Linked DNA regions of Macaca fascicularis. The protein of the gene in region 2 binds, or shares a complex with, the protein of the main gene of each other region. Links are inferred from orthologs where the notes say so. Each region holds a gene or a part of one and is shown on either strand. Other genes may lie near its edges.

Region 1 (3,652 bases), on a different chromosome or scaffold from region 2:
TGCATTAGCAAAAGATCAATGTAAAAACACTCCACAATTCTGCAACTGTCAATTTAAAAAATCCTGTTGTCGTGGCTGAAAGGTTCCGCGTTGTATTCTTGCCGGTGAGTTAAGTTGTACAGAACATTGTCAGCACTAGCACAGTTTACAGAACCTCACAGACCCAAAGGAACATCATTAGGCAAAGCGACTACAGGAGGCGTGTGTCTGCGTGGGCGAGGTAAAGAGGGTCAGTATTGGTCAAGTGACAGTGTCAGTAATCTGGCAAGACAGTGATGTTAAGAAGGTTCATAGTTTAAGAATTATCTAAAATATTTTAAAAACTATAAAGCTGCAACACATGATTTTTACACCTAGTTACTAGAAAACTAAGGAAAGCACTTATTAGCTTTGAATAAAGTAACATGGAAAGCACTTTTACTCATCTACAAAAAAACCTTCTAATGCATTATCAGAAAGATTTTATAATACAAGGAGGCATATTGCTCAGTAAGAAGGGGTCCTATAAGAAAAGCACTTACTAAGTTAGCGACTAAGGGAACGACCAGTTTAAAGATGAATTAAATGCCCAATTTGGGGAGGGATGGCAGGTGTAAGAGAAAGGAAAAGCTTAAGAACACATTTCCTGATAATACCAACCTTTCTTTCATCATCTACTGCATTTGACAGAAATTAACCTTTTAGAGTTTTTACCCGTGACACTTTTGTTCCTTGTACAATGTAGTGTAAATCTCCACTTCGTATTTTGTCAAAATACTGTCTTTGTCCTTTGATCACACACACCCCACCCGGCACACCCACAGCTAAACAGAATTCTTCATTAGAGGAAACACGAGTTCTGTTCAAAATCTCCGCAAGAGCTGGTCAGAAAACTCACTATGAAATCAAAAAGACTGATCCAAAGAGCTGAGCTGTTACACTCACTCCATTACAGTACAATGTTATGTCGTGAACATGGGCCGCTAAATCACTGGTGAGTTCAATGGCAACGCACCATTCGGGAGGCTGTTCTGCTTTACACATCTGAGAACTACTGAGCAAGTGTCTGCATCTCCTAACTGCAGAGGCTACAGTCTTCTCAAAGACGAAGGTCCTTACACAGTTTAGTGCTTGGTGTTCTTAGCACAACAATGCAGTATAGTTCAGAAGGTATTTTGGCAACTTTGAATCTGAGCAAGAATAGGGTGGGCTTTTGAAAAATAAGGCTTTAAGAAGGTTTGTCATTTTAGGGCTAAATTTTAATAGAATGTGAGTCTGAACTCTTACATTTAGAACAAACAAAAACCTTCAAATTACTGATTGGTTCAAAATGGTTTTATGGAAAAATCAATCTGTAACAAAAAGTTGGCATTGAGTGCGAAGGCTCCACCGTTTTTTTTTTTTTTTTTGAGCAAAGCGTACAAAGGTTCCAAGGGACAGGACCAAGAACGAGGGGCTCAGACGTTTACAACAGCAGGCATTTTCTCTTCCTCTTCTTCACGGGAGGTGGGCAGAGGACTGCTCGGATCGCTTCGTCAAACACTGTCTTGAGGCCTCGCTGTGTGAGCGCCGAGCACTCCAGGTATTTCACAGCACCTACAGGAAAACACGACCACACAGCAGTGTACACTTGAGCCCACTCTCTTCTGATCACAACACCGGCGGGAGGCAGCTCCGGGGGCCTGGGCACTTTCTGCCGGCTCCCAGCCCTGCGTCCACCTTCCAACGCTGACATTAAGACCCAGAAGGCGATGCCAGCTGGTTCCCCAAGAGTACAACCAGGCCCTGAGTGGGAGACACACACCCTCCTTTCCCAGACTGGACTCCAGTCTCTGTCACTACAATAAAAGAGGTACAAGGCAGAGGAAAAACGCAGGATTCCATACCAATCTCCTTAGCCATGGCTAGACCCTGTGGATAGGTGATGGGAGTCAGCTTCTTCTCCTTCAGTTTCTCGATCGTGTCTTTATCATCCCTAAGATCAAGTTTAGTTCCCACTAGGATGATGGGAGTGTTGGGACAGTGGTGCCGCACCTCAGGATACCACTAGATGTGAAGAAGGAACAGAGGTTGTGATGTGCTCCTTTACAGACGCCTTTCACCTAAATCACACCCAGCCGGCGGCACTTGTGCCAGACACCTAACCTCAGGCACAGCCTCCCCACCGAGCCTTCATGTGGTTCCCACCTTCAATCTGAGCCTTGAGCCATAAGAAACATCTCAGGTTTTCCATGAGCAAGCTAGGACTCCGGATCATGGCCGGACAGAACCACGACCAGAGAGAATGGGCTCTACAACCGCAAGGGAAGAGGCGGAAGGGAAGAGAGTTCCTCCCAAAGCAAATAAACCACTTTGTTTTTGGTAAAACAAGTTCTTAGGGTCATCTGAGAAAATTCATCATCTGTTCAGAAACGAGAATAAACTACCTAGCCCAAGGTCTCAGGTCTGCCGCCATTATCCCCACTGAAAATGTCCCTACTGAAGGGCCTGTCTCGTCATTTTCACTAAGAAGTTTGTGAAAGAGACTGGAGTAGAAAGAAATGGTGGTTAGTTTTATTAGACCAATTCTGAGTGCCTCATTATTTTAATGAGGTCCAGGAAACTTCTGAACCAGAACCTGAAGCTTTAAAAATCCACATATTAGGCCAGGCACAGTGGCTCACATCTGAAATCCCAGCACTTTGGGAGTTTGAGGTGGGTGGGTCACTTGAGGCCAGCGGTTTGAGACCAGTCTGGGAAACATGGTGAAACCCCGTCTCTACTAAAAGTACAAAAATTAGCCAGGTGTGGTGGTGGGCGCCTGTAATCCCAGCTACTCAGGAGGCTGAGACAGGAGAATCGCTTGAACCGGGAGGTGGAGGTTGCAGTGAGCCAAGATCGTGCCACTGCACTCCAGCCTGGGTGACAGTGCAAGACTCCATCTCAAAAATAAATAAATAAAAATAAACTGCTGATGGCTCAGGCGCAGTGGCTCACACCCATAATCCCAGCACTTTGGGAGGCTGAAGTGGAAGGATCACTTCAGCCCAGGAGTTTGAGACCAGCCAGGGTGTACAAAACCAGCGCTACAAAAAATTTTTAAAGATTAGCCAGGCACAGCGGCGCACATTTACTGTCCCAGCAACACAGGAACGGAGGCAGGAGAACTGCAGGAGAACTGTTTGAGCCCAGGAGCTCAAGGCTACAGTGAGCTCCGATGTCACCACCACACTCCAGCCTGGACAACAGGGTGAGACCCCTGTCTCAAAAGAATAAAAAACCCAATCATGTACTTAAGTAGCAAATTCCTAAAACCAATTTAAATAACTGAAAATTCCTAGGCTAAGTGATATTTTAAAGTATTTATTTCTTTTTTTTAAAATTTATTTATTATTATTATACTTTATAAAGTATTTATTTCTGAGAGTGTCATTCTATAACTCACATACTTTAAATCCCCACCTACCTTTGCACGGACATTTTCAAATGATGCAGGACTCACAAGGGAAAAGCAAATTAAGAACACATCCTACAAAAAGGAAACACAGGGAAACATTTAGACGACCTTGGAACAAAGCCTGCACTTTGCTTTCTGGATGTTGCTGGGAAGGACTTGTCGGACGCAGAGCGTGTCTACTAGGTACCAGTGGCTTGGTCAGATGCTTCCTGATCCACCCTTTCAGTTTGTCAGAGG
Region 2 (3,652 bases):
ATGGTGGTGAATTCATGAGTCTGTGGGCTACTTTCCTTCAGGGCTCTGTACCCCCTGGCATCTTGAAATTAGGAACAAGCCAACTATGCCAGCCACTCGGTGTGGCTTCATTTCTCTAATTTTTAGAGTCTAAAGCCCTGTTCAAAGTGTGGTTTCCGATCAGTAGCCTTGGCGTCAGCTTTTTTAAAAATGCAGATTACCTGGCCCTACCCCAAATCTTCTAAATCGGTATCTGCATTTTAAAGAGATCCCCAGGTACTTTGTATGCTCCTTACAGTGCCAAAAGCAATAGTCTACAGGGTACCTGTATGGTGATCTCTTGAGTTTCTCAGGTGTTCTAGCAAGATAAGTGATCCCCCTCAAGGTTTTATAATGACTAAAGTTTTAGTGAGAGCAGAAAGCACCTTGAGACATCTGTCAACTTAAGATTTTAGACCCAGAAGCTGTAACTAAAAGTGGGGACAGTGTCTCCTTAACAATATGTATAAATTGTATTGAATCTTTAAAAGAAGCAGATACACTAATGAAATTTAGGAGACTAAAGAAAAGAACCAAGTTGTGACCCTACTTGGGACAGGCAGGTTGAGGAAGTCTGAGATGGGGACCTGGAAATCTTTGTTTTTAATAACTCTCCAGGTAATTTGGTATAATTTAAAGATTCCTTCTTAAAGTTGAAGATATCTGGAATCTTTTGTTGGGCATGAATTCAACCTTTATATAGTAATATACATATTTGAGTTTCTAAAATATACAAGTTTAGATATGTATGGGGGCTGCTGCTTTAGGCAGATGCAAGCTTCAAAAACATCTTGGTGACAGACTCCTTACTTAGGGTGTTGACTCGCAATTGTCTTGAATTCATTATCCCAGTTGGGCCGTCCATACAAAGTCTTTTGTTTCAGGCCTGTGATCACATCTTTCTCCTCATCATGGTGCACAGCAAAGTGATTGGCCTACAGGAAAGGACATGAATTCAGAAAAAAAGAGACATGCTGTAAAAGCACATGCAATGTATTTACATCCTTCACAAACTATTCTAACCAAGGCACCCTGCTGGATGCTGAAAGGTATACAAAGATAAATAAACTGGATCTCTCTCAAGCAATTTACAATCTAGAAAGGGAGACTTTGAAGTATAAATATAAATAATCCCATATGTCGAACAGGGTATGATGAGTGTCATGAAAGAGGCACAAGTGTCCTAATGAGAACAAAGAAGGAAGGTGGAGTAGAAGAACAGGGTAAGGGTTAGGGCTGCAGTATTTGAGTCAGGCATTGATGGATGAGTAGTGTCTCACTGTTTTTCTCTCTGTTCTATGTTTGACTTTTTCTCTTCACCCTAATATACTTCCACTCCTTTGGGAGAATTACTAAGAGATGTAACAATTTTTGACTAAAATGCAGCAATACTTTGGTAGCATAATAAGGCATCAAATCAAGCCTAGAGCTAGTGTGTGTGCGTGTGTGTGTGCGTGTGTGTGCGTGTGTGTGTGCGTGTGTGCGTGCGTATGTGTATATAGTCACATGCTGTTTTTCTGCTACCATTCTAGGAGGCTTCAGTTTGAACAACAGGTATTTTTCATGAAAGTGGTTAATTAAATTTATTTTTAAAAAGCAAATCAGATTTGAAATTCACTAGATGGATGATGGGCATAGAGGATATTAAGAAAGGTGGGCACTCCAATTTAATAATCCTATGGAGATCAGTTTGGTAAAGCAAAATAATTAATTTTTAACACATAAATTACTGATTTAAAAAAACTGTGCTTTGTTTTTTAAATAACAAAACAGTAAAGCAGTTTATATAATATAGATTTTTCCTGAGTTTTATTTTTATCAAAGCATTTTTGTTTTGCTTTTAAATTGCAGAAGTGGCATTTCAAAACCACTTTTTCTGGAGCAACAATTCTTATGGTGATGTTTCCTTAATCTGTATTTGCTACAAGGTTCCTTTAAGACTTGGAGAATCTGTGGTAAACAATATGTCAAAACCCAAATGGGAATTCAGTCTTCACAGTGACAGGGTGCACATGGAAGATGCTCAGGGTTGTGGAGCCAATGTCTGTGTATACCCAGTTGCTATAGTTTGAATGTATCCTCTCCAAAATTCAGATGTTGCCAATGTGATAGCATTAAGAAGTGGAGCCTTATAAAGATGATTAAGACATAAAGGATCATCCCTTATGAATGAGTTAAGGGCTTTGGAAAAGAGTCATCACACAGTATTCGATGAGCCTGCCCTTTTTCTTTCCACCATGTGAAAACACAGAATTTCTCCCACCCAGAAGACGCAGCCTTTGCTAGACAACCAAACCTGTTGGTGTCTTGATCTTGGACTTGCCAGCCTCCAGAACTTTGAGAAAATAAATTTCTGTTCTTTATAAATTATCCAGCCTCGGGTATTTTGTTATAGCAGCACAAATGGACTAAGACACCAGCTGAGACACAGGACAGAAATATGCAGAGACTCTTGCCTTAGCTCCTCACTCATGGTGGCAGCATCTGTTTCCAGGCCAAGTCATTAATGTTTGCTTATTTACAAAGATGTTACCACTCCAGGAATCATTAACTTGTTTCAGGGTTTGTCAATTTCAGCACTGTTGATATTTGGGACTGTATAATTCTTTGTTGTGGGGGGCTGTCTTGTTAATCGTAGGATATTTACATTGCCAACTGTCTCTGGTGTGTGTCTTGGGGGGAACAGAGCAAAACTGTTCCTGTTGAGAACTATTGGCTTACTTTATTATAGTGGTCTCCAAACATTTTTGGAAGAGCACCCTCATTGTACACACACACACACACACATACACACACACATACATGCATATATACCACCTTCATTAGATATATAATAATTTATTCATAAACGATAATCATGAACTACTGCGAGATGCTGAGAGTGAAGGCTCTGGCACATTCTGTCTCTGTCACTTACTTGTTGGGTGCTCTTAGGAAAATGACCTAACCTGGTCTGAGTTTCTTCATCTGTAAAGTGTGGATAATAATAGGAGCTACTTTATAGTGTTGGTGAGAGGATAAAATTAGACAATCTATGTAAATAGATACATAAGAATAATACTTGGCAATATATATACATAATAATTATAAAGGTAGTGAGTATATTATAAAACATACAAAAACATAAATTAAATTTTATAAACACATATGTACATATAAATATATATGTGATACATATATAAATACGTATTAAAATATATACATATATACAGAATCCTTTATATGCTTATGTACGTTATATATACAGATGCTCCTCAGCTTACAATGGGGTTATATCCTGATAAAACCATCATTAAATTGAAAATACCATAAGTCTAAAATGGGTTTAATACATCTAACTTAATAAACATCATAGTTTAGTCTAGACCACCTTAAATGTGCTCAGAACACTTATATTAGCCTACAATTCCACAAAATCATCTAACAAGAAGCCTGTTTGTAATAAAAGGTTTAATACCACATGTAATTTGTTGAATGCAATACTGAAGTATGGCTTCTACTGAATGCATATTGCTTTCACTTCATTGCAAAGTTGAAAAATCAGGCCGGGCGCGGTGGCTCAAGCCTGTAATCCCAGCACTTTGGGAGGCCAAGATGGGCGGATCACGAGGTCAGGAGATCGAGACCATCCTGG
Region 3 (3,652 bases), on a different chromosome or scaffold from region 2:
AGGAGAAGTCAGAGGAGCCAGAGGTCTCAGTGGACCTGGTCAGGAGACAAGGCACAGGGCCTGTGTGAGTGACCACAGCAGGAAAAGTGAGAGTGATTCGCTAGCCCTCAGGGGCAGGCGGTGAGGGCATTCCTGGAGGCACAGCTGTGGCCTGGGGCAGTGAGCGCTGGTCGTGGTCACTGGTTTCTGGTTTCTTACTCACTGGCTGTGTGGCCTTGGGCCAGTCACTGCATCTCTCTGAGCCCAGTTTTCTCTACCACAGCGTGGGTAGCCAGCACCTTCCTCGCGGGGATGTGTGTAGCAAGAACTGGCTTGTGAACCTCCCCTACTCCAAGCTTGGAGCCCTGGGATGGCCCTCCCAGCATTCTTTGGGCTTCCCTGTCTCTGATGTTTATCAGGCCCCTCACCCCATGTCTGGACTCCTGCTAGCTGTGGGGGCAGGATCAGACTTGTACTCCTTGGTGGCCCCAGTGCTGGCTCTGCACCCGATGCATAGTAGGTGCCCAGCAAATGCATCTGGAGGCTCGTTCGATGGCCCTGCAGGGCTCTCTGGGTCTGGCAGGAGACGCTGGGAGTCAAGGTCAGTGCCCCACGCTATCTCCTTGGCAGCACATATCTTTCTACCATGTGCCATGGCCCTTCCCATGGCCCGTGACTGACAGCTTTCACACACACTCTGGGGTGGGCTGAAAGGTCCCAGAAGCAGCCCTCTTTCCCTGGAAGGTGGGAGACGAATGACAGCACCCTAGCTTCCTGCCTCCTCTGGGGACGCCCTGAGCACAGTCCATTCTATCTCCCAGGCGGCCCCAGCAGGACTGAGCAGCAGTGGTCCACAGCCATGACAGCTCAACCACCTGCCCTGTGCCAGCTGCTGTCCCCTCCTTTATTCCTCCCCACTCCCCTTCTGCGGCGTCCTGGGGTCACTTCCCAAATAAACCCCTCATACCACCTCCTTGTCTCAGGGTTTGCTTCTGCGGGGACCCAGCCTGAGAGGGGATGAACATTCATTCAACAAATATTGAAGCTGGGCGCGGTGGCTCACGCCTGTAATCCCAGCACTTTGAGAGGCTGAGGTGGGCAAATCACTTAAGTTCAGGAGTTCAAGACCAGCCTGGTCAACATGGTGAAACCCTGTTTCTATTAAAAATACAAAAATTAGCTGGGCATGATGGTACATGCCTGTAATCTCAGCTACTTGGGAGGCTGAGGCAGGAGAATCACTTGAACCCAGGAAGCAGAGGTTGCAGTGAGCTGAGATGACACCACTCACTCCAGCCTGGGCGACAGAATGAGACTCCATTTCAAAAAACAAAAACAAAAACAAAAACAAAAAAATAAACATGGAGTGACAGCATAGGGAGAGAGTTAAGTTTATTCATATCAAGACTTGGAGGAAAATTTACACAGCCTCAATTACCTTTCCAAAGGACAGGTACAAGTAGGAAAAGGATTCAGAGATAATCTTTATTTCTTCTTGTTTAGTTGTATTACATTTTTTAAAAATATAATGAATCAGTCACGAAACAGATAAAGAAACCTAATTGCAAATGCTGTGTGACTTTGGGCCAGTTGCAGACTGTCTCTGGGTCTCAGCCTCCGAGGAATGCCATGGAGCTGGACCACAGTCCCCAGGTTCTGGGGTTTGAGACTGACCTGACCTCTGCCTTGACTGCTCCCCACAGGTTTGACAACTATTCAGCCAATGTGATGGTGGACAGCAAGCCGGTGAACCTGGGGCTGTGGGACACTGCTGGGCAGGAGGACTACGACCGTCTCCGGCCACTCTCCTACCCACAGACGGTGCGCTGCTCCCCCGCGCCTTGCAGTCCTGACCTTTGCTGTCTCCATTCCCTCTGCTTGGAATGCCCTTCCAGTCAGCTCAGCCTGGGAAACCCTTCCTCTCCCCTGAAGGCCCAGCTCAGGGAGTCTGCCTGCCTTGCATGTCCCAGGCAGAGCAGGGCCTCCTCCTGCACTCCCCCAGCCCTGTGTTTGTTCCCGGTCCTCAATGTGCCTGTTTTCCCACCCCACTGCCTGCTGGGCTCTGGCACCCCCTATTTCCAGTGGTGGGGCAGGTGGAGTCTGCACAGGGCCCCAGGTTGGTGAGCCCTGGGAGTGCTGGGGGAGGGGAGAGGTGGAGGATGCCTGCAGGTGGCTGCTGGGTCCTTGCTCTTCCTCCAGGGTGTGCAGGGAGGCGGCTAAGGCCTGCAGATGTGGATGGTATATGGATTGGAGTATGGACTCCGGAATCCCAGATCCGCCCCTCACCAGAGTGCACGCTGGCAAACCCTTTAACCTCTGGAAGCCTCACTTTCCCCATCAGAGGAATGGGGCTAGCAGCAGTGCTTGCTGCAGGGTGACATGTGAGGATAACCACTTTGCAGAGGCCCTGACCTTTAGTAAGCATCCCAACAAACAGCAGCCTCGTGGTAAAGGCGAGAAGGGTATCTCTGCTCTGCCCAGATCCTAAGTCCCCAGCGTCCCCTGGGCTGTTCCACCCTCAGGGAGCCCCAAGCTCCACCTCTCAGTGACTGCCATGGTGGGACACCTCTGGGCCCTCCTCAGTGGCAACCCTCGCTTGCTCTGTCCCCAGGACGTCTTCCTCATCTGCTTCTCCCTCGTCAGCCCAGCCTCCTATGAGAACGTCCGTGCCAAGGTGAGTTGGACAGGGTGGGCCTTGGGGGCTCTGGGGAAGGTAACCCTGAGGGACAGAGGGAGGAACTGGTGACTCTAGACTGGTCCCTGGGGCAGCAGAGGCCGCATACAGAGAGGGTCCCCAGTGCCAACCAGGGCTGGCAGGGGGACTGAGGGGGTAATATTTGGAGGGTCTGGAGTGGGGGTGCAGCGATAGTTAGCTATACCCCCACTTTCCGTGGCTGCGTCCTCCTCCTCCCTACACAACCTCATGTTCGCCTCCGATTGTCACATAACCTCATGTTTGCTTCTTATGTGTGCACAAAACCTCGCCTCCTCCTTTTCTACAATCATGCGCCCCCTCCTTCCTGTACAACCTCGTGGCCTCCCTTCCCTGTGCCACCTCATGTCTCTCTTCACCCTCATGCCCACGTCTGATCTTCTAGCAACTGGGTGCCCCTCCTTTCCCTACACCCTTTTACCCCCTCTGATCCCTGCACAGCCTCATGCCCGCTCTTGACCCATACAACCTTGTGTCCCCCCACCCACCTGCCCAGTGGTTCCCGGAAGTGCGGCACCACTGCCCCAGCACACCCATCATCCTGGTGGGCACCAAGCTGGACCTGCGGGACGACAAGGACACCATCGAGAAACTGAAGGAGAAGAAGCTGGCTCCCATCACCTACCCGCAGGGCCTGGCACTGGCCAAGGAGATTGGTACGGGCCTCAGACTCAGAGAGGGGAACTGGCTGCAGGGGAGCCCTGACTTGGCCTCGTGGTGTGTAAACATGGGCTGCAGGGCCAGGCTGTGCAGTTCGAACTTAGCTGTGCTGTGCACTTGCTGTGTGATCTTGGGCGAGTCACGTAGCCTGTCTCTGCCTGTGTTTCCTTATCAGAAAAGCAGGGGCTAGTGATAGCTCCTGCCTGCTGGGGTGGTTGGGGGAATTCAGTGAGTTATTCCAGGTGGAGCTCCCAGGGCGGCACCTGTGTGTGGGAAGCACTCTGTGTTAGCTAGTAGTCG

Evidence for each region. The genes of interacting proteins can lie anywhere in the genome.
Region 1: CYBB (region 2) and RAC1 share a complex: the UniProt entries of both Homo sapiens proteins name them as parts of the phagocyte NADPH oxidase complex. The link is inferred for Macaca fascicularis from reciprocal best matches to the Homo sapiens genes CYBB and RAC1.
Region 3: CYBB (region 2) and RAC2 share a complex: the UniProt entries of both Homo sapiens proteins name them as parts of the phagocyte NADPH oxidase complex. The link is inferred for Macaca fascicularis from reciprocal best matches to the Homo sapiens genes CYBB and RAC2.

What each region holds. Positions count from the first base shown.
Region 1 is NC_088377.1:45,964,061-45,967,712, forward strand, and holds part of RAC1 (ras-related C3 botulinum toxin substrate 1), read right to left. Parts: intron 3,488-3,652; coding exon 3,425-3,487; intron 2,026-3,424; coding exon 1,866-2,025; intron 1,576-1,865; coding exon 1,445-1,575; 3' UTR 1-1,444. UniProt on the Homo sapiens protein: Plasma membrane-associated small GTPase which cycles between active GTP-bound and inactive GDP-bound states.
Region 2 is NC_088395.1:37,738,712-37,742,363, reverse strand, and holds part of CYBB (NADPH oxidase 2), read right to left. Parts: intron 954-3,652; coding exon 829-953; intron 1-828. UniProt on the Homo sapiens protein: Catalytic subunit of the phagocyte NADPH oxidase complex that mediates the transfer of electrons from cytosolic NADPH to O2 to produce the superoxide anion (O2(-)).
Region 3 is NC_088384.1:14,440,507-14,444,158, forward strand, and holds part of RAC2 (ras-related C3 botulinum toxin substrate 2), read left to right. Parts: intron 1-1,682; coding exon 1,683-1,800; intron 1,801-2,590; coding exon 2,591-2,653; intron 2,654-3,188; coding exon 3,189-3,348; intron 3,349-3,652. UniProt on the Homo sapiens protein: Plasma membrane-associated small GTPase which cycles between an active GTP-bound and inactive GDP-bound state.